Tribolium castaneum: one gene and its partner. The protein of the gene in region 1 purifies or fractionates together with the protein of each later gene. This does not show direct contact. Links are inferred from orthologs where the notes say so. Each region holds a gene or a part of one and is shown in the gene's direction. Other genes may lie near its edges. The genes, in order: l(2)gl and aPKC.

Evidence for each region.
Region 2: the proteins of l(2)gl (region 1) and aPKC purify together in Drosophila melanogaster (affinity purification with western blotting; 6 studies listed by BioGRID, with this or other methods). This does not show direct contact. The link is inferred for Tribolium castaneum from reciprocal best matches to the Drosophila melanogaster genes l(2)gl and aPKC.

The regions. Positions count from the first base shown.
Region 1 is NC_087399.1:11,111,375-11,115,200, reverse strand, and holds part of l(2)gl (lethal(2) giant larvae protein homolog 1), read left to right. Parts: intron 1-490; exon of another isoform or gene 491-1,031; intron 1,032-1,086; exon of another isoform or gene 1,087-1,485; intron 1,486-3,443; coding exon 3,444-3,681; intron 3,682-3,794; coding exon 3,795-3,826. UniProt on the Drosophila melanogaster protein: Essential for the development of polarized epithelia, for cell polarity associated with asymmetric cell division of neuroblasts during development, and for oocyte polarity formation.
Region 2 is NC_087399.1:9,781,120-9,785,670, forward strand, and holds the start of aPKC (atypical protein kinase C), read left to right. Parts: upstream 1-1,600; 5' UTR 1,601-1,800; intron 1,801-1,859; 5' UTR 1,860-1,898; coding exon 1,899-2,391; intron 2,392-4,551. UniProt on the Drosophila melanogaster protein: Serine/threonine protein kinase which is required for apico-basal cell polarity in the germ line as well as in epithelial and neural precursor cells, for epithelial planar cell polarity and for cell proliferation.

The DNA.
Region 1 (3,826 bases):
ACTTTAAATAAAATATTACGAAAAATGGCGTTTTTAGTTGATAACAGAGTTGGGGACTTTCTTTGATGGTTGTTTGTAACACTGCTAACCGATTAGGTTTTGTTTGACAAATATGTATTTGACGTAACACAGTGTATAGTTGGTTGTACTTCTGTCAACAACTAGTAGTAAAAATAGAATTCAAAATTGCCAACTCAAACAGACATTTTTGATGACTTGTAAGAGCGGACTTTTTAATTTTTAATTAAAATAATCGCTCTAAACTAAACTGTTCATAATTTAACAATTGTGTTATCTGGTGGTCGATTTTTAATTATAATAAGTGTAAAAATATACCAAATCTTTGAGTCAAAACAAAACCTTGGTTTTGAATGAAATTCTTCTTAAAAAAAAAGGTGGTGTTTCTGCAGAAGAAGCATTTTGAAGACTGCTTTAATTCTCTAATTTTATATTTCCATAGGAAAAAGATGAGGAAGAATAAAAAAAGAAATACTTTCTCAGGGAGTTTTAATTTAGGCACTCAGAGAGCAAATTTGTTTTTTAATTAAGAAGACGTAGGCAATGTTTTTGTTCACAGTTGCTGGCTAAAAAAAGTCATATCAGAGACGAATTTACCAAATCGTTTTATTTTGGCAAAAACTGAAGATTTTTGAGGAAGAACCATTATTTTTTCTTCCTAGTTTATTATAAATGTGCCAAATAGCTTAGAAATGACTGCGAAAATAATGTATTTTGAGCCACTTGCAGGCCATTATATTAAAAATAAATTCACCAGAATGAATCGATAACCCAAGTTTAAAACTCCCAGATTCCATAACCGGACTTTTGTCATTTCCCTGAATAGAAGTATGTAACTAAATGTATTTGAAAAAGTGTGTTGGTAGAAACCCTCGTTTAATTACCTGCAAACCGATCGTTGTTTTCTTTTTTCTATTTTAAATTAAATTTCAATTTTTAATTAAGAAATACCTACTCACATTTCATTTCAAAACAACAGTTTTATCTTTTTGTAAATATTGTTCTTAAATTACCTGAAAACAATTATTATAAATCACAAACTGTTTCGCAATACATTAATTTTCATACAATGCGGTACTTTAGATAAGAGTATAACAATAAATATAAACTACATAAGTTTTCCTTCTATTAATATATTGACTATTCAGAGAAATTTTATTATTACTACTAATAGTGCTAACCTCTTTAACACTTGTAATACACAATTGAAATTAAAAATGTTGTCTTTTACAAGTAAGTCTCTGTTTTCCCCATTTTTCGAATGCAGCGTAAAATTTTCAACCTCGAAAACTATGATTTGTTTTTATGGTTGTGCTAAAACAAACTTTTTAGTTAAGTAATTTTTACCTGTTGAAAACAATTTTAGCTTGGATTTTTCGTTCAAAACACGAAGCACTTCTTGACGCCTTTGTTTGCCGACTGCTCTAATTAGATTGACTCAAAACATGTGACACTAATTGTGTTAAAACCTTGTTCTACTCAGATAAGATAACAGTTATTTATGGAGTCAAGAGGAAAATTAGACATTCTTTTGAATCAAATACTATATTTTTTCTATTTTACTCTAATGTCTGTTAGTAAACTGATTTATTTTACGAACTTTTCTCAAAATAAACCTTAGAAAACTCCAAAATTATATGAAATTTATAAAATTGTGTTATTTTAGCCTTTTCCGAGGAATGTAATTTAGCGAACTTAAATCAAACTATTTGTTTTATTTTGGTCTGTTTTGAATAATTTAGCACGTTTTTGACTTAAAATAATTTGTAAAAAGTTATTTTGGTGTCTTTCAAGAAATTAGTATATTTATTTACAAAGAAACTAATTTATTTCTTGAAATTTTGACAAAATAAGTTTACAAACAACATTAAATCAACAACATTTCGTTCTGTTTAATTTGTTTTTCATCTAAGAAACACATTTATTTCACACAAAATCTTGTCAAAAGTCGTAAAATTGAAAATTGAATTGTTTTAACTTGTTTTAAGAGATTATGCTTATTTTTTTTAAACTTATTTATTTTATCAAATAAGTATAAAAATTACCAGTTTAAATCAAAAGTAAAACATTGACTCGTTTGCTCTTTGTTAACCCAAAAACTCATTTATTTCAACTAAATTCTCTCAAATAAAAAGTCTAAAACTGAAAATTAATAAATTCGAACGGTGTTCGATCAAAAAATTTATTTATTTTGGAAAAAACATTAAACTAGCGTAATGTGCGTTGAGTCAAACTGTTTGGTAAATTAAAAATAGATTTATGTTTAAATTGAACGTTTTAGAAACATTTTTGTTTGTGAGTTTTCACTAATTTTTAAATTTTTCACCAGTTTAACACGTTGTTGAAACAAATTTTTCGACAAAGAAATAATGAAAAATTCGCCGGTTTGGGGATAGAAGTTTTTGCGTTTTTCGCCTGTTTATGCATGTACTCGGTTATTTCTCAAAAATTCTTAAAAAAATTACCAAATTTAATCGAAAACAGTGTGACCCTGCCTCTTTCGAGATCTAAATACATACTTTCGAATTACACATTTAGTTTTTCTGGAGATTTTATCACAAACTACTAACCTACAAGTGTAGTTTACAAAAAATGCTGTCTCGAAGAGAAATAAACGACTTGGGAAAGTGAGTCTTATTTTGACTAATTATGATCTACAAAAAATAATATTTGAATATTTGAAAATTACAGTACATTTTATCGTTTCTTACTGTTTAAAACGTTTTACAGCAGAACTGCGTTAACAACAATCTAAAAAACTACAAAATTTTGACAAGCTCGCTGAAAATTATATTATTAGCCTTATATTTTGTTGAAATACATTTAGAAAACCCAAAAATATATCTGAATTGATGTTATTATTTTGCTCATTTTTTAGCATTTTTTACAAGGTTTATATTTCCGTCTGGTTTTAATTAATTCTTCGATACCTTGAATGTTTTTGGGGCCTAAACATTAACCCATTTCAACCTAGGATTTTTTAAAAGGACGGTTTACACCTGTTTTATCATTTGTGTTTAAATAGCATGTTGCTACTCTTAGGTAGGTGGAGAGACCTAATTATACATTACAAGTGTCAATGTTGAATTCTAAAGTATCAAAACTGGAGCTATCTCAAAAATTAAAAGTGGATTTTTTTATCAATTTTTTGTAGCCCTCTGATCACTAAACCATCAGTTAATGCTGTTTGCACAGAATTTCAACAAAAAATATCTTCCGGGCTATGTGGGTTAAAGAATTTTCTACAACTTTCTTTCTTGTATCTTTAACCGTACTTGCAACGTTAACATTGTGGAAAATATGAAATTTGTCGATTTTCTCGTCTCATTAAGAGAATTTAAACCAATCAATTTTTTAGTCCAGACGGTCAATAAAATGTAGGGGACTGAAAAAGTGGCTAGAAAAAATTTGTTTTTTAATTCCAGGCGGAAGAAGTGCGAGAAAATGGCGAAGAAACTCCCCACAACGTGACAGTTTCTAGCAGCGTCGGCGATATAACAATCGACAGCGTTAAGGATTACCTCGGCTCAGGTGAGGAGCTTAACAGACGCATTTCCGGTATGTGTGTGACGAAGACTGTCACGACAGTCATAAACAGTAGTCAAGACGGTGCCGTAACGTCTTCCAGTACGACCACAACCACAACAAGTGCCCAAGACAACAGTGAGTGTTTGCTTTTGTTTATTTTGTCTTAAGCTTTTTTTCTTGCTCAAAAATATTGTAAAGAGCTTTGTTTATTATTTGCTTTAAATGTGTTCTTTTTGTTGCTTTTGTAGTCATAGAGAGTGACACGGACGGACCTGCACCG
Region 2 (4,551 bases), about 1.3 Mb from region 1:
GAGAGTTGACGAGTCGTCTACAATTGCGTAAGTGTTGCGACACAAAATCAGAATGAAGGACTAGAAAACGTGGTTGAAAAACATACATTTACAACAGAAAACACATTTTAAAAAGATTCGACAGAATTCCATCAAAGAAATTGCAAAGAATTTCTGTCGGAATGTAAACAATGTACCATTGAAAACAAGCGTTCGTTGTAAACGAAGTTCGTATGTTTGCATTAACCAAATTTATTTGTTACTAAAATACAATATATTCAAATATGGTTGTTCATTAAGTCACCTATGAAATTTGAACGTAATGTGATGAATTGTGTTTGCCGTTAAAGTGATAGATCCGTCAAAATAATGCAAAAGGGCTTCGAATCAAAAAATGAAAGAATACACAACAACAAAAATCACGGAAATATAAAACACAAATCAAAATAAACCCTACATTTGAAACAACTTTGCCGAAAAATGCAAAAAAATACGTAAAAAGCTAATTCAAAGATTTGACAGAGAAACTACAAAAGTCATTTAGACAAAGCGGCACATTGAAATTAAATTCCATAGTCAACTTGATGAACAATCATTTTTTAACACATTGTATATGGCTTTAAAACGGGATTTTCAATGTTGTTCGTTATATCCGCGCTTTCATTATAAACCGGGTTCGTTGTAACCGAGTTTCACTGTATTTTAAAAACTAAGCAAAATCGATCAATAACAATTTAGCTTGAAAAACATTATTGTTAAAAGCTACATCAAAAAATGCAAAAATATAGGGTGTTTCATTAAAAAAAACTAACTTCAAACTGTCAGAATTCTACCCATGGTAATATCAAATGAGTACATGCTGGGAAAAATGGTAACATTCTTTTCATAACTGTTTTTGCGGTATTTTTTTAAAGTTATGTTGGAGATAAAACGTACGCCACTGATAGTACAGTTAATTAGTGTTAGTACAGTTAGTGGAAAGCATGATAATCGTTTGAAGACAATGGTATTGATCAGAGCTCAGTTTTTTCCAATACAACTAACTTAAACTCATGAGCGCCATAAGTGACACTGATTAAGGGGTTTCTACCCCTACGAAATAAAAACGTGAATATGGTACAGATCGTCTCTACGTATCCTTGGAAAGCTGTGATAAAATTTGGCGGTCTATTAATGAATCACCCTGTATTTGAAAATAATTTTAGGTGCGTCTGGGGGTTAGTATCCACGGCTTTTATAAAAAAATCTAACATTTAAGAGTCAATGATGAAAATTTTCAATTCGCTGTATGTGGTCAAATGCATAGAAAACACCACAAATTTTTTGCTTCTATTTTCTAAGCATACCTAATATTTTTACATAGATCTTAAAATAACCCTTCTGTGAAGGAATTCAAAGAAAAAAATGAGAGAACAGTAACGTTCGCACAAGTCGATTAATAATTGAGACAAGTCCCAAACCTATAATTCCTTTATCATGATTTTTATCACGCCTAAGCCACCTATGTGCGGCATCTCCAACTGCCCAAAACGCTCCGGCCCTTCGTCGGTATCGATTCAAAGGCGCCACCGTAGTTGTCCCCGGCCTGACGTCTGCGTGATTGCCAAATCGGCGCCGTCTCGCCATCCCTTCATCTATCGCGGCGTCGCGACGTCCAACGCACCGGCAACGCTGCCACACACGTCCCCCGTCGTTAGTTTTCAGTACCTGTCCGCTTATTCGCAAACCCCTCTTCCGTAAATTAATTTCGAACAAAAAATCAACGAACGATTCACTCAGGTGGCGTCGCGACGCTTTCCCCCTTATTTAACCCCGTAGTAGGTGAGTGTTTTTTAGGCGGGTCGTAGTTGATTTAATAATTAATTGCGTCGTCATTTGAGCCCCCTTGTGATATGCGTCTTTAAACCGTCGCTGGCGTCATGGCTTGGGGTTATTGGAGCGCTACGACAGTGTCGGACCGCGGCCGCAGCCCCCGAAGGAACCAGAATGGCACCGTCAACAACCACCAGCAAAGCTTGCCCGTCAGTATCGAAGATCGCCCCTCGGTGTCTCAAACGTACGCTGGGGCCCCCGTCAATTCCAACAATAACACGACGACGTCGTCGTCCAGCGGCCAATTGCAAGGCGAGTTCGAGGAAGTGGCGGCGTTTTCGAGGCGGCCCTCGTTGGATTTGTCGCTGGTTGGGCCGCAAGGTGCCCTGGCGGGGATCTTGTGTGCTGCTCATAGTAGTAAACAGGGAGGGACGTTGTCTGCGGGTAACACTTTGACGAGGGTCGGGAGTAAACATACGGCGGTGGAGTATGCAGTTCCACATCATCTCTACCACCACCACCCGACTTACATAGAATACCATCATAAGCAGTTGTCCTTTTCGGACGATGATAGCAGCTCGGAGCCCGGATATGCCACAGGTTTGTCGGTGTGGCATGAAAAAATTCATTTGCTTTTGTTGCACCCCCGATCCGGGTCAAACACGCGTCCGGCAACGAATTTCGCTTAAAAGGGTGCGATTTCAGTAGTGCTCTAATGTTACATTTATTAGCCGATCGTAAATATCCAACGAATAAAATCGCTGAAATTGATTTTGCGAAACGAAACGTGTGCACAATAGTCTATAAATTTCTTATCATAATTATTATAAACCAAACGTTCAGAGTTAATCGTTTTTTATTTTACGTGTTTTGTAATGTCGTTGCTCTTGCTTGACTTTCTATTATTGCAACATTTTAATGGAATAAATGAGCTTTTTAAATGCATATTGTCTCCAAGCTTTCAATATAATATCACGCTTTGTTATTCTTTGGCGTGTCTTCACATCAGGCTATTGTTGGCTGGTAATGAAAAAAAATCACTTCTAAACATTACAATTGCATTTTAATAAAATAAATATTTGTTGTAATGGAAAATGTGTTGTTTATCTAAGTCATTTAGTTGTTTCGGTATCCAATGTTAAATGGGCTAATGCTACAAAAGTATTATCATCTGATTTTCTTTTGTAGCTTAATTATTATTTATTTACGTATCTAGTCGTTTTTTTATTTAAATTTTTTGTAAATCCTTTGACGGAATTGAACCAAAGTCATTAATCATTATTCATTATGCATGGATTACGATTCTGTAATTAGAACTTTCTTACCAAGTAACTAACCTCTGTTTAAAAATCAGCGTTTAAAAAAAGGTTTCTTTGTCAAAGGTGCCTACTGCTTAACTTTTTAATAATTCAAATCGTAAATGTATTTTTAGAGGTTCAAACTTAAGACACATAGTAGTTTATTATACAGGGTGCTCAAAAACCGGCGCACCAACTCTGGTATATGGTAGAAAAAAGCGTACGTAAAAAAGGAAAAATAGTTAAAAATATGTGTATTAAAGTTACCGAATAACGAATTTTAAATAAATGACAACAAGGCTTAAAATTGCTTTAAATCTATTAAAAAATAATCTGACGTTTCTTTTTGAGAACTACCAAACAGTTGTCAAAACTTACACAGGAGGAAAAACCAGACATTTTGACAGTGTCGAGGAATAAAAATAATTATTCATCATGTGTTCTGGATAGATTATTTAATGCAAAACATAAAAACATTAAAAAAATAATGAAAACTGAAGAAGTTAACAAAATAGGTTTGTCGATCCAATTTTACTTTTTTAATTTAAGATTTGTTCTATTTTCCATTTGTTGGTACCCCAGTTTTTGAGCGTCCTGTACAAGTAAAGAAAAGTTGCCCATTATTTGTGAATGATTTCACAGATAGTGCCATTTTTTCTTTACGTGTAGGAGAATAATGCAACGTTTTCTCTTATAGGTACATTGATAAATTTTTTTAATTAATTTTCCACCAATAAGAATAAAAAAATCACCAAATGTTTATTATATTATATCGTAATTAAAACTTAGTCATAGTCCCTCAAATATTTTTTTTCGGATTTTAAAAATCAAACATTGAACCTTCTGTTTCTTTTATGAGAAATCATAGATTACAATTTTTATTTGGTTTGTTTATAGAAAAGATGCGTATTATATTATGACTTAATAGTTCCTAACATGAGACACGGTTTTTTTTAGAAGTTAACGTTTTTTCAAAAAAAGGCGCCACTGACCTATATTACCAATAATGCATTGTGAAATCCTATGTCAACAGAGAGGTGGTAGTACTGGAAATTTAAGTAGAAATTTTGGTTTTTTTAGCATTTTCGGATTAAGAAACAAATTTTTGGTAAATTCAGATTTAAATTATTGATTATGATGTAGAATGGAATTTAGTGTTTGATATATCTGTCAAAAAAAACTTATCTGATAATTAATCGTGAATGGATTGTACTATAATAGAAGTACAAAGTGTCTATAAATGAATGTGGGATCGTAATAGGTATTAAAAGTTTGCCGTTTTTTTCAAGAAAAAACAAACAATGTTTGTATATGATAAAATTAGTTTTACTGGTTGGAAAAAATTTTCAGAGTACAAGATTTTTTTTCAATTTTCAGAATTTTTTTCTGAATTAAATAAAACAATGACTGCATTTTAAAAGACTTTTTTCTCTAGAGCCCGAGTGGAAGAATGTTTCCAGTA